2 linked regions of the Oreochromis niloticus genome follow. The protein of the gene in region 2 purifies or fractionates together with the protein of the main gene of each other region. This does not show direct contact. Links are inferred from orthologs where the notes say so. Each region holds a gene or a part of one and is shown on either strand. Other genes may lie near its edges.

Region 1 (6,939 bases), on a different chromosome or scaffold from region 2:
ATCGGGAGTGCAATTTGTGTTTTTTGAGAATTAACACATTGGCAGTATCTGCCAGTCTGACTTGGCTTTGACACCTGAAATCAAACTTTTCCTATCTCAGACACTAAACTACTGCACTGATGTTTTCAGATGTGCCATTTTTATCATTTCAAAAAGGTTCCCATTTCAAACTTAATATAGGCAACATTCCACTCTGACTCCACACATACCTGTCCATTCATGTGCAATTTTAAGTCTTTCATTTGACTGCAGACACTGAGCCTTACAGTCATTTGCACAGGAAACAACTGTACTAACTGTAATTAAACAGATCTGTTAAAAAGAAAAACTAATAAACTGAAATTTATCCCACAATCTTTTGGCCATTCGTTCCAAACATAAATTACATTTATAAAGAAGAAACCAAACAGGTAACAAGAGAACAAAACCTCTGAGATCCAATCACATGTAGGCTTTACTCAAAACTGCCACTCTCATTTCCACAGTGTAAATAACTGTCTTGGTGTTGGAGGGGAAAAACAAAACAAAACAAAAAAGTACAGTGGAGGACACAGAGGAGTATCATTTGAATAGCACTACACCACTCGCCGCACTTCGAAAAATCGCTTCAGGTAGTAAATCTGTCCGAGTGTCATTGCCACCAGAACCAGAGCTTCAAAGAATGACCACAGGACCACTCTGCTGTTTGTGTTGTCATTAACTGGATGGAGAAGAAGAGGAGAACAATTATAAAGATTTATCTACACTTATGATTACAATGGTTATTGGACTTAATGTAAAGGCTCTTACTTGCTCTGTGTATCCTCTCACGGACCTCCATGTACTCCTGCTCGTGCTTCACGGCTGTCATGGCAACTGCCAGCTCGTTGATCATCTCCTCCAGCTTGTTTTGGTGGGCTGAAACAAGAGAAAAGTGACTTGTCAGTGATGAGTCACAACACAGTGGTAAAGAACCCTGCTACCCCCATTTGAAAAAGAACCCCCCCCAAACAAACAACAAAAAAAAACATGCAAGATGTGCATATCCTTTTCACACCTGTGATGCATGTATCTGCATTTATACTTCATACATGTTCTCAACATGTGCAACAAGTCAAATCATTCGCAAACATCACCGCGTCTGACATATGTATGCTTAATTAGTTTTTACTACAGACGCAACTCTGGTTAGAGAAGACTGCAGTGCATCACAAGCTCAAAAATTTATTTCACAACAGTAGTTTAGTCAAAGCCTGCTGTGCCCTACCATCCCAGCTGTCACCACCTACGAAGAGGGAAACAGTGAATCCACATAATAAAGTCAAAAAATGAGAAATGAATAAAAGGAATAATAATTTTACAAGCAACAGGAATAAAAAGAGTTGCGGTTAAACTACATAAATCCCCACTGTGTACCTTCCGTCTCCATATCTTGGCCTTTGGGAGCCTCTCCGATATCAATGGTGAACATGACAATCTTGGGTGTCATGGTTGACATCTTGTTGCTGAAGCAGAACTTGTAGGTTCCATCCATGTGCGCTGCCACAGAGTATTTCCCACTGGACTCTCTGTCCCCTTTGTAAATTTGCTTACCGTCAGGTCCTGTTATCTGGAGATAGAAGAATATCTAAATAACTGACATTGCTGCTTGAGTGGAGAATAACATGACGGGCATGATGTGCTTTAGGAAACATATGGCAGAAACTAAGTCAGACTGTCTGCAGAAATAGCTAGATTTTCTGCTTAAAACTAGCGAAAATAAACGAATTCTACAACGTCTACAGCGCATTGACTATTCAATAATCAATAATTAGCTACATAATTAGCAACTTAGAAACAATGCTAATGCTGCACTTCCTATATCATAATGGGTAATTTAATCATCATTATGGAGCAGCTCTTAGCGGGAAACTAAAAAAAGCAACTCTGTAAGATGTAAACGTTTTCCATTCAACTGTATGTTAAATCCTTTACACCTGCTTTGCATCCAACTAGTTTTACCTGACGGTACCGGCTAATAGCTAACATTAGCACAGGCCTTGTGTTGCATTGCATTTTATGATTTACAAGTACATTCTGCCTCGCGTTAGGTGACTCTTTTGCTATCCGAATGAAACATCTCACCTCGACGTCGATGTCCAGGAAGCCTCCTTCGGCCACTTCAAACATGAGGCCCATCTTGGTACCGGAGTTGACCCGCTCGTAGAAGCACTCCTCGGCATGGGCGTCTATGCTAACGAAGTAGCCAGAAGCAGTGGCAGACAGGACGGCCAGCAAGACAACTAGCTCCGACAAGGTAAACATGTTTCCGTGGTTGTATGGAGAGCGTAAACGTAAAGCTGACGGTATAAAAATTTTCTATGCTAATGTATATCCAGTTTGTGTGAGTGGACTGTTGCAGGAGACGAGCCGCAACAAGCTCGGCTACTCTGTGCTGCTCTCAGACTGCCACGTACGGGCTTACTGCACGGGTACCTGCGAGGGCCAAACCTCCGAGAATACATGACACACACTGAAAAGGAAGTGAAAGACAACTCTTCGTTTTCTCATTTGTTATTGGAAGAAGTCCCTTAAGTCCATGTAAGTTATATCTGCTTGCCAAAGTCAACCCCGTAAAGGGTCTTTATGTGCAACACGAATAATTAAAGAGTCGTGTTCTTTAGTTTACTATAATTTGTGTTTTTACTCTGAATGTAAATACTTTTTTCTGATTTATAAAAAAAATCAAATCAAACGAACATAAGTGAAAATGCACTAATTTAATGAGTTAAATACATATATTTATACAAATATATAATAAGAATATAATAAGAAAATATCCAAAACAACAGCACTAAGTCATCTAAGTAATAGTACACGATTATGAAAACATTTCATATCAGTTGATAGCATTTTGCAGTAACGACAATAATAATGATAATAATAATTTATTAATGTTGCATAGCAGTTCAAAACTCTACTTGAAGATAATACTACTTGAAGACACAGTGCATCACTGTAAGACTTTTTTGTAGTGTGGCATGAATGACAGACTTGAATACTTTTTTGTTAGATTTGTAACTTTGTAATATTTTGTATTATTTAATTCAGTTTAGTAAGTTACTGTTCTTACTGTCTTGGAGCAACAGTGACCAAATAATTTCCCCTCAGCTTAATAAAGTATTTTGATTCTTCTCCATTCCTCAGGTTTCCTGTCACTTTACAACATTGTATTAAACAGTTTGAACCAAAAGACTGTTTAACACAACCTGGAACACGGCTCTCCTAGACATCTCCATGCCTTCACAGGTATGTCATCTGGATAAACTCGGTTTGCACTCTTCATCCTCTTCATAGCTGCCCTCACTTCCTCCTTATTAATCCTCCACTCATTGTGATTCACTAACTTTTCTCCATCTGTTTTCCTGTCTCCTTCATTTTCTGGAATTATCAGCAGCTCAAAGTGCTCCTTCCGTCATCTTAACACACTCTCTTCTATTGTTAGTACATTTTCATCTCTATGCTTAACCACTCTAACCTGCAGCATATACTTTCCATTTCAATTTCTCTGTCTAGCCAATCAGCAAAAGTCCTTTTCTCCTTCCTTAGTTTCTTACTTACAACACACTACAATCCTTCTCATTTGCCACCTCTCTCGTTGTTGTATTCCTAGCCGTCCCGTACTCCTATCTATTTTCTTCATCTCCTAAATATGTCACTCCTTCTTTACTAACCTGTTTCATTTCATTTCCTATAGTTTCATGTACTTCATCATTTCACCACCAGGTCTGCTTTACCCGGTTGTGTCCAGAGGATCCACCAAACACCAGTGTCAGCACTAAAGCTGTACTTTCCCAGTCATCGGGTAACTCTTTCTTTCCACCCAGAGTATGCCTCAACTTCTTCCTGAACTCTGTGCAACATTCTTCTTTCTTCAACTTCTTTCACTTACTCCTTGCCTCTGCCTTCACTTGCTTCCTCTTCTTAATGTACAAAGGCATCCTACAGACAACCATCTGATGCTGCTTAATGACATTCTCCTCTGACACCACCTTCCAGTTTCCTATATCTTTCAGATTGCACATTTTGCATAAGATGTGGTCCCTCTGTGTGCACCTTCCTCATCTCTTATATGTCACCCTGTGTTCTTCCCTCTTCTTAAAGTACATGTTTAGTACAGACATTTCCATCCTTTTTGCAGAATGTACTATTATCTGTCCCTCTGCATTTCTCTAACACCTTACCTACTTAATACCTCTGTTCCCTTTGTCTACATGTCCATAGAATTTTGCACCAATCACAATAATGTCCCCCCTGGGGACATTATTGCTTCATCTGACTTACTCAACTTACTCCAGAATTTGTCTTTCTCTTCTAATTGACATCCAGCCTGTGTGGCATGCGCACTGACAACATTCAACATCGACCATTCGATTTCCAGCTTCGGACTCATGTTCCTGCCTGACACTTTTCACCTCCACAACACTGTTCACATACTCTTCCTTACCCCTACTCCACTCCTGTTTCTATCTACACCATGGTAGAGCAGCTTGAATCCCCCTCCAATACTCCTGGCCTTGCTTCCCTTCCATCTGGTCTCCTGCATAAACAATATATCTACCACAGTATATTTATACTGCCAACTTTAACCCCCAGACTTCTGTCTTTCCTACTCTCTCATTGCCTCCTAACACACCCTCCTCCTCTTCTTTTCCTTTGTCTTTGGCCAATATTAGCAGTTTACACCAGCACCCTGTTTGCCAGGTTGAAATCTCATCCATCATGACTTGAATGTTGGCCAAGGTTTTAATAGGTTTCTCCAAATATTTATATTTGTTGGATCAAATATAAATAAAATGATTTAAAAGGAAGATGCATGTTCACCAGTCTTATGGATGTACTATTTTGGGGAAAAGAGTACAATGCTTCAGTGATAAAGTTACTTACATCACCACTTGACTTTCTCCTAAGGTAGTCTCTGTTTTATGTGAAATATTTTATATGTTTTTGCTTACAAAGCAAATGACAAATATTGGATAGCTCAAAGATTGCATGTAAAATGTTCAAACAGAAAAAATTTGTTAATGTATACTAATTTTATCTGTATTTATTTTTACGCGTTTCTAATAACCCGAGTCGCCACAACAAAACATTACGAAAGTTTCATAATATCATTTTAAAAATGGTTGCGCATCTAATTACGTCACAAATAACATATGAAATGTAATTTATCTCCCGTTAGGGCTTAGAGCTGCGATTAAGTTTCGCTTTGCCGTGAGCACAGACAGTCAACGAACTGTTCGAGAAGCCTTCGCAGACGTTCTTCGTCGTTTGCCGCTTTCGCCGCTGTATCGTAAAAAAACCTTTTAACGAGCATGCGCTGAGTGAAAGTGATCTGGCTCTTTAATTTATCTGACGCCGTTTACCGGACGGACCGAGATCTGTAGCTTTTATTTAAGCGGGTTAAAGCGACCACGAGAAACGGCCGCCGAGGGTGAAAAAATCCATTACACCCTCTGTTTTGTCGCAGGTTTGGTGACGTCCAATAATCGACTTGCTGTGAAGTCTCCGGGGCCGAGGCCTAGAGACATTTTTTTGTAACGGGCGCTATCAAAAAAATTTGTGTCGATGCTTAACTAGATTTAGGTGCCCGTTTTGACCGGATGTGAACCAATGAAGCACTTTATACTGTAACTGAAGCTTTAACGGTGGGAAACGTTAGCCAGCTAATTAAAGCTACTGCTAACTGCCAGCGAGGAAGTGAGGAACGAAAAAAATGACATCTCGGAGGTAAGCGGGGGCTGTCTGGAAAACAATGTCTGCTGATAATGCTAGCTGAGTCTGCTAACTTTAAGTGAACTCAGCTGTTTGGATCTTGGTATGTCGGTAGACGGTCAATGAGAGTTCCGACGTTTCTGGAAATAAACAGAAATAGGTGGTGTAGGGCTGCTTCATTTAGCGTTACACCGGCAACTTAAAGCAGTCTTAAATTGTTAAGTAAACAGCGCTGTAACATTGGTACAGAACATACAAAGCTAAGCTGTCCACAAACTGTAGTTACTAATAGGTACAGTTAAAGTTAACTAACCCTGCTACAGCTGCTGTTAACAGATGCATCTTACTGGATTGATTTGTTATGCTTTGAGCTGCTGTCCAAGTCAAACCAGCTGTATTTACAAATAACTGAACATAAGACACCCCATATTGATACAAAAATTAACGAGTCATTTTAACGAGAAAACGGGAAAACAGCAGGAGTGCATCAGAAAAACGGAAATGAAGTGCTTTCACGTTATAGATATGTGCAGAGTAGGCAGAAGTCATAGCAGTTTCAACATTTTAAGTAAATTAAATTCCTTAGATTATAAATGTAACGCGTTAAAAAGTCATCGTTAGCGAGTGGAATAAAGATATTTCACATAGATGGTGCACAGACCACAGACTTCTTGTACAGACGAGAGGGAAAAGATGAAGATCATATTCACAGGGAGGCAGAGGCAGGAGATGACCACAATGGACGCATGAGTGAAACAGGCAGGCAGTCTTTTCGGGGGAGTGCCGGGTGGCAACTTGTAGAAAGAGCGCAGTCAGCCTCCGAATGTCTTTACTGGAATATACAGAGTTGGATAGAGAGGAAGTGAAGAAAGACAAAGACAGTGTGGCTCTTTTATACCTTTGGCTCCAAATCAGTCTCGATGTCAGCAAGCACCCTGTGCAATAATACCAGAAACATTGTAAGAGAGAGACAAGACTCTCAAAGGAATCGTTTATTAAAATCTAGGCAAGACATTTTTAACAGCAAGGATGGTGATAGGAATAACTTCCCCAGTGGCCTTTTGAAATCCTCATTATTGTGTAAGTCATTGACACATTTAAGCTGTTTTAATCAGATTCAGCTTTCATGTCCAGGTGACCATTCAAATTAAACTTGAGTATTACTTCAAAATGCCCAGATAAGTGACTGGAGATGTAACTACAAAC
Region 2 (7,160 bases):
ACATCATACTGAAATGAACTGACTGCACCTGTGTTTAGAAAACTCTGCCTGCTCTGCTCAAAGTTGCCACAGTACCTCAGGAAAGAAAACTGACTCACTTTCTCTGGTTTCCCACCATTAGGATCCATAACGAAAATCAGTGTTGTGTCTAGAAGTCTCCGTCCAGTTTCAGCACTAAAGAGGTTAATACTGCAAGCCTGTGGGAAAGAAACAAATAATCATCTCCCAATTAAGAACATTATTTAACAAAAAAAACACTTAAAAATGGTTTCCTGAAAAACATGACAAAAAAATCTTACAGTAACAAGTCTAACCTTTTCATTAAGTAAATCAATAGGTGTATTACATGTCTGCTTTTTAAAATCAAATGCATTTGAGACTAAGAAAACAGCTAAAACACATCAAAACCCACAAATAAATCTAAAGGTGAAATATTAATTTAACTCACAGTTTTATTCTTTGGGGACATAACAGCAGCGATGGTCTTCTCTCCAGTGGTTGCAAAGGAAACCAGCAAGGCCTACAAGAAAGGATATAGCTCTGTATAATACAACAAAAGACATGATCTTTCTGTAGAAAAATAATACATTCAAAAAAATGTTACGGGTTTAAAAAAAAGTATTGTATTTGGCTGTTTTTAACAGTTATTTTGTTTGATATTTGCCTGGGGAAATAAAATATTTTGGCAAGGATGCCAAGCCACATTTACATTTTGGCAGATATTTACTGATGTTGGCTGTTATAGCAAAACAACTGCAATACCAGGACAGGCTAATATAGAGAAAAGATTACGTACTGGCTTGAAATCCCTGAGTGTAACTATCTGACCATTGTTGAGCTGGAGAAGCAGGAAGTTATCAGGGCCGAGCTGAAGGAAGAACTCAGATAGAGGCTGATGGGCTGAGTTGGGCTGGTGTGACACTAGGACCGGTTGAAAGTCTGGAGCTACTTCAAGTCCCAGTGACTGTGAGAAGACAAATAGGAGAAGACTGTAAAAAAAAAAAACCCGGTGTGTTCATAAGGGAACATATAAGATCACAGAAGTGGAGAGCTGAGAAAGAGAGAGAGGCAGAATTTAAAACTTAACCATCTAAAGCAGAGGACATACATGGTAATTTAGAAAGGTTTAGAAAGGTTTTTATTAGAGTCATACCTGCAGAGGGATCTGGGTCATCTGTAAATCATGCGTATCTAGGTGTAAGTCGCACATGTACAGCGATGGAGTTGCAGAGTCTACACAAATCAGCACCCCCTGACCAATTACTGCACAGCTGGCCACTATGTTGGACAGCCACGGAGCTTCAACAGAGATCTGAAAACATCACAGGCAAGAAACTCACTAAAATCATTCTATATACTGACCACTGATTCAGTGTTTGAGTTAGTTGGTACTTCCACAAATTATCCATTTTATATATGTTATATTTACAGAGCATAGATGTATTTTTTTGATACTATCATTAATAAACAGGATTACCTGCTTGATTATCTCTCCATCATCAGTGCTGTAAGCAATAATAACAACGTGGGAATGGGGAACAATTCCCAAAGCATAAACTTCACCATTTCCTCCAGAATAAACAGTCTGGTAATCCACAGTCTCACTGTGGAGAGAAACAGAAGGTGACAAAAGTTTCATAATAAAATTACTGTTTTTACAACACTGTCTGGTATTTTCTAAAAAAAAACAGAAAAAAGAAATGAAAAAATGAGTTTCTGTGTAGAATTATGTTCATTGAAACAGAGATTACCAGTACACAAAGTTAACATTAATATAAAAACATACCTTTCTGGTAGATTTTCTATCCATTTTTGATGGCCATTAGAAAGGTAATGGAGAGAGATAATGTTTTTTTTCAAAACAGCCACGTTTTTCACTGTGCCTTGCTGCCCCACTAGACATGCTTTCTGGAAACTTGAACATATAAAAGAAGCAAGTTAAGATTTAATCAAATAAATGAATAAACAAAGACCATTCTTAACCTTAAGGAAATAATCACCTTCCAGAGTCAAGCACAATTTCCCAGTTCAAACCACCAACATTGACATCCCAGGATCGCAGGAGGCGACCATTACCAACCACTAGGATTGCATCTAGGACACAAAGACAGTTTTATCAACTGCAAAATTACTGCAATGTAAATACATTATTAGATTAATTACAAAAAATAAATCACCTTGTCCATGGTGCAAAAGAGCATCAATGTTTCCTTCGGGTCCAGACTTATCTACATGTCGCCAGACTGTAACAGACATTGATATCAAAATGACAATAAAAGACTATACCTAATATATGAGAACTTTGTCTTTCAGACTAACAACATACTCACAGAGTTCCCCAGTCCTTGTATTGAGTGCGGCAAAAACATTATTCTCTGTTGCTACAAGAACCTTTTTGGATGACTGCACATGTGTGTCAAAATGAGAAAAACGAACCTTGCCTACATACTGCTGCCTCCTGTGAAACATGAAGAGAAAGCACAAGCAGTCAGACTGTCATCCAGCTCACCCATAATCAAAGTGACACCATTAAAACACCATTGTTTTAATGACCAAATGGATCCAATCCCGGTGCAAAGACATATTTCTCAAACTGAAAAGGCGAAACTACATGACACTGGTTTGTTGGTTACAACGTTTTCCTATTGCCTTTAAATCACTTTCTATCGCGTTTCACTTGCTGAATTTAGTGGGACCAATGATTCACTTACTCTATAAAGCATGGACATATGTACACCTCCTGAAATTAACTACCAAATTTACATTTGTTTGTCTTCATTCTGGTGTGTTTTGACCTGTTCTCATTCAAAGTCCACCGATTAGCAGCTAGCTGCTGTGACAGGTGCTAACATTAGCATTTCCACATTAAAACATAATCGGCACACATTTGATCATTCACTTGACACCTCTTACCAATCAAATTTTCCTACTTGGTCCTCAAACACAGCACCGACAGCATTGTATAATATGACACATTTAAGCCAAAGCAAAATTAGCTTTGCCATTGCTGCAGCAGCTCTGACTTGCTCTTCAACGGGAGGAGGAAGTCGGAAGCCGAACGACTTCCTTTTCGTTCTGCGAAGGAGAAGTGCTGCCCCCTAAAGGTTGTAAAGACACACAGCGTCGGTTCTGGTGGTGACCTTTCAGATTAACAAATACTCAACCAGTTTCCCAGACATGGATTGAATCAAATCCTAAACTGAAAGAAAAAAAAAAATGAAAACAGATCACCATTGAAAAAAACTGTGAGTTTAATTCATGTGTGGGAAAATGTGTGATGGGATCATCTGACAGAAACACAAATGATAACATTTTAAATTAATGGTAACACAGGGGATAAATAACAGGATTCAAGTGGAAGACATAGGCTGCACCCCCACGCGTTAAAAAAGCGAAAATAAAAACGAAGAAATAAAGAAAAACGAAGACGATTTGTGTATTTAATATTCCATTATCTATTATTCTAGGCCCTGTGTGTTGCATTCAGTAATTAGACAACAAAAGTATTTATTTTCTTTAATTTATTATATGAATTAATATTTACTTTATACATTTATTTTATTTTTTACTTACTTGATGATACTGGATAAAGTCCTGTTGCTATTGTGGACTTTTTTGGAATCAAAAGGTGTCGTATTACTATATCTATCTATCGTCATACAAGAATATTAACATATGTGGATGAAAGTCACATAAAGTCAAAAAGTCGTGATTCCTGGTTTGTTAATGAAGTTAATATTAAATGAATAATAAGATAAGTTAAAATAGGTAAAAAAAAAAATAAAAGATAATAATAACCAATATGGAAGTTTTACAACTTGTATATGTAATTACATCACAAAAGAATGATGGAAAAAAACATACATCGCTTTATTCCTTCGTGTAAATTGGGAACCATATTACTATACATAATTTTAAAATGGGTTTATAAACAGTAAACCAGTAAAAATTTCGAGTAAAATGTTGTCAGGGCTGGTATCAGAGTGAGAGCGCCCCCATGATTTACTTACACCGCAGTTTCTTCTTCCAGTAGCTAGTTTTTTCTGTTAGGATTTCAAGATGGCGTCGAGCGGAGGAGATGGGGAACACGAATGGACAGCGGCAGTTCGGCCGCTTTTATCAGCTTCGTACACTGCTTTTGAGACGAAGGAGCTACCTCAGCTTATTGGGTCTATAATCAACAGGTAACCGGTTAATTGTCAATAAATTCCAGGTTCTTATTTGCTTGAATACTGCTTGTGTCCACCTAGGCGTAGGCTAGCTGGCTAAATTGCTAACCTAGCTTGGTTAGTATAGTTTGATGGGAAACGATACCCATTTTGCTAACGTTAGCGGCTAGCAAGCTATTTAAGCTTAACTTGCACTGGCATGGAGTCAGCTCAAGACGTTAGCTGATGTGCTAATGACAGCTAACTTACTCAAAATGCTATATAGCGTTTCTTTCCTGGTGACTACAGAGTTTGAAACGAAGCACGTCTTATGACTGATGGACATTTATCTTTAACGTAATGTCGGCGCCGTGCAAACGTTAAACGGCGTTGCAGTGTAAGCTTTAACAAAATTGCTTCATCATTAGCTAGCTAACACAAACATTAGCCGGCAGGCTAACTCGGGGGGCCTTCCAACTGGACTGGCTCTCAAACGCCCCAGCCAGAGTTATATTTGACTACGTCAGGTGACTTCATTGGGCTAAATTCAACAATACTTTCGTCTTGGAGTTGCATTATAAGGCGTAATCTGGGCATGTCATTAGCCAGTTCACGCATTATAAGGGTGGCAAAAATAGTCTGCTTAACGTCATCTGCTTGTGGTTAGGCTGAAAGTAGGCGGGGGACCTCACCTCTCCACTCATTTTTGATCAGGTGATGTTGAGTTGCAGTTAACGTATTATTCGTAAAATGGTTACTTAAGGTTATTGCTTCTAAGACTTGTATTTTAGGAAATGCTGCATGGTTCTGCTTAACCACAAAGATGCTGGGGCAGAATGAACTTGTTATCTCGTTACAACATGCCCACCTATTTATGTTCTCATAAAAGTAGATATTTATTGTATTAGTGCTTTGCAAGTATTGTTGAGTGATTTATTTGATTCCGTAGTTGTGCCTTGATTCTCTGTTTGTGGCGTAACATAAGCTAGTACATAGAAATAAAAGCTTCCTAGTATGTCTCTTGGTTTCGTTTTCCAGTGCAACAGGCTGTGCGAACACAACTGTTATGAGGATCGAAAGTAGTGTTGTGTAGTTGAATTATCCTATTGTGCAGTTTGACTATAATAAAAAAAGACTCCATTATCTATGTAAGTATTGATTAAAATGTTTCTTTCTTTTAGTTGTGTAATTGTAACAAGCCTGTTTATTAGAGGCCCCAAGTGTTAAGGAAAAGTACTTAAAATATTCCGACCACACCAAAAGCCAGTTCCAATACCATCAGTATAAACACACCTTGTTTCCTTACACCTCGTATCCTAAAGAAATATTACATTCTGTGAAGACGACATTGAAGAAGTAGGCTTGAATTGCCAATTACCACCGAGTTTAGCCACACTGAGTTTGGTCAAGGTGGGTGATAGGTTTTTGTGTGTTCTCTCTCATGGCTTTGCAAGTACCACAAGCAGTACCACACTGTAGCACATATAACAGAATGGCAATGTTATTGCAGCTTGTTTGTTAGCAGTAGCATTCATTTTATTATTTTATGTTCTTTTTGTGAAGGTCATGACTGTTTCTTTTTTTTAATTGATGATGATATTGAGTATTTGTTGCATATATATTGCAACTGATTGTGGTTTGATGTATTAAATTGATCTTTAAAAAAAAAAAATTAACTGAGACAAACTAATGCTCCTGGGAGATATACCAGAAATGTTAATCAGTTAAGTCACTGAGGTGGTGTATACTGAAGAAGAGTAATTATTTTGATGCTAACCTTTAACCAGACTATAAACCATTAAGCATTCTATTCTTTCATTTTCCAGGATCCTGTTGTGTTGACAAAATGTGTAAGAAATATCAGACAGTTGCATGAAAACAAACATGAGTTTGCAGCGTGCAGATGGATGGATGATAATGAATGATAATTATAAAAAGTCTGTTTTAATAAGTTTTTAATTAATTTTTAAGACTGAATTCTTGCACAAACACATTGGATAAATTGTAGGGTAAGCTAAGTTTGCATAATTGCAGTGCCTCAGTGATCAATTTCACAATTCACAATGTAATGTCACCATAGCAACAGATGGAGCTGATTCTGTCTATATTTTAAAAGTAAGGCTGCAGTCAGCAGGTGTTTTCTTTATTGTTACTTGGACATTCAGTATGGCAGTTGATTTGATGTACATCATGAGTGGTTACCATCTGTTTAATGTGACACAGCAGAACATGAGATTGTCCTGTGAACACTTTAAATCCCATCTTTGCACCTCTTACTCATATTTGCGTGGAGGAATTAAGACACTGGTTGAAGAAGGGAGGAGCAGTTAAACAGATCAAATCCACTCTATGTCACTGTCCTGTCTGTATTCTCTACCCCCTCCCCCAAACAAACAAAAACAACCCACTATAAATGTTGTGTAAAAAGTCATATTTCCTTTGTTTGCAGTGAATCAGACATTCTTCACCACGACAAGCAGTATGAACCTTTCTACTCATCATTCGTGGCACTCTCAGCACATTACATCACCACAGTATGTGGACAAAGTATGTGTATTTCATTTTCTCCTTAGAGTAATAGACAAATTCCTGCCACTCACTGACAATGAGCCAAGATCTTTCAGTGAAAACGGTTTTGTTGCTCGATGTTATTTTTGTTCTTTTCTCTGTTTCCCTAGTACCAAGAAATCAATTGCTGTCAGTTGCTGCAGCGTGCAAAGTATTGATTGAATTCTCATTGCTGCGCTTGGAGAACCCTGATGAGGCATGTGCAGTTTCACAGGTAAGTGAGACAGTCAGCAGGGTGGGTGTAGTCATTTCTAGTTATCACTGATTTGCATTTCATGGTGGTTTTCGGCTTTGTATTGACTTATGCATTGAAATAAATAAAAAATTAATTGAAATGAAATTGTGCTGCTATTTGTTGTTCTTTAGAAACACCTGATCCTTTTAATAAAGGGACTCTGCACTGGCTGCAGCAGACTAGATCGCACAGAAATCATTACTTTCACT

The links.
Region 1: the proteins of emc1 (region 2) and tmed2 purify together in Homo sapiens (affinity purification with mass spectrometry; 3 studies listed by BioGRID and IntAct, with this or other methods). This does not show direct contact. The link is inferred for Oreochromis niloticus from reciprocal best matches to the Homo sapiens genes EMC1 and TMED2.

Annotation. Positions count from the first base shown.
Region 1 is NC_031972.2:11,314,607-11,321,545, reverse strand, and holds tmed2 (transmembrane emp24 domain-containing protein 2), read right to left. Parts: upstream 2,481-6,939; 5' UTR 2,284-2,480; coding exon 2,104-2,283; intron 1,589-2,103; coding exon 1,396-1,588; intron 898-1,395; coding exon 790-897; intron 701-789; coding exon 576-700; 3' UTR 560-575; downstream 1-559. Other genes in the region: ptpn11a (tyrosine-protein phosphatase non-receptor type 11), read left to right, coding at 5,735-5,748. UniProt on the Homo sapiens protein: Involved in vesicular protein trafficking. Mainly functions in the early secretory pathway but also in post-Golgi membranes.
Region 2 is NC_031984.2:24,272,142-24,279,301, forward strand, and holds the start of emc1 (ER membrane protein complex subunit 1), read right to left. Parts: upstream 3,096-7,160; 5' UTR 3,006-3,095; coding exon 2,914-3,005; intron 2,459-2,913; coding exon 2,331-2,458; intron 2,244-2,330; coding exon 2,178-2,243; intron 2,095-2,177; coding exon 2,001-2,094; intron 1,916-2,000; coding exon 1,787-1,915; intron 1,605-1,786; coding exon 1,478-1,604; intron 1,313-1,477; coding exon 1,154-1,312; intron 965-1,153; coding exon 797-964; intron 521-796; coding exon 449-520; intron 198-448; coding exon 99-197; intron 1-98. Other genes in the region: E3 ubiquitin-protein ligase UBR4, read left to right, coding at 4,060-4,184, 6,598-6,695, 6,827-6,930, 7,083-7,160. UniProt on the Homo sapiens protein: Part of the endoplasmic reticulum membrane protein complex (EMC) that enables the energy-independent insertion into endoplasmic reticulum membranes of newly synthesized membrane proteins.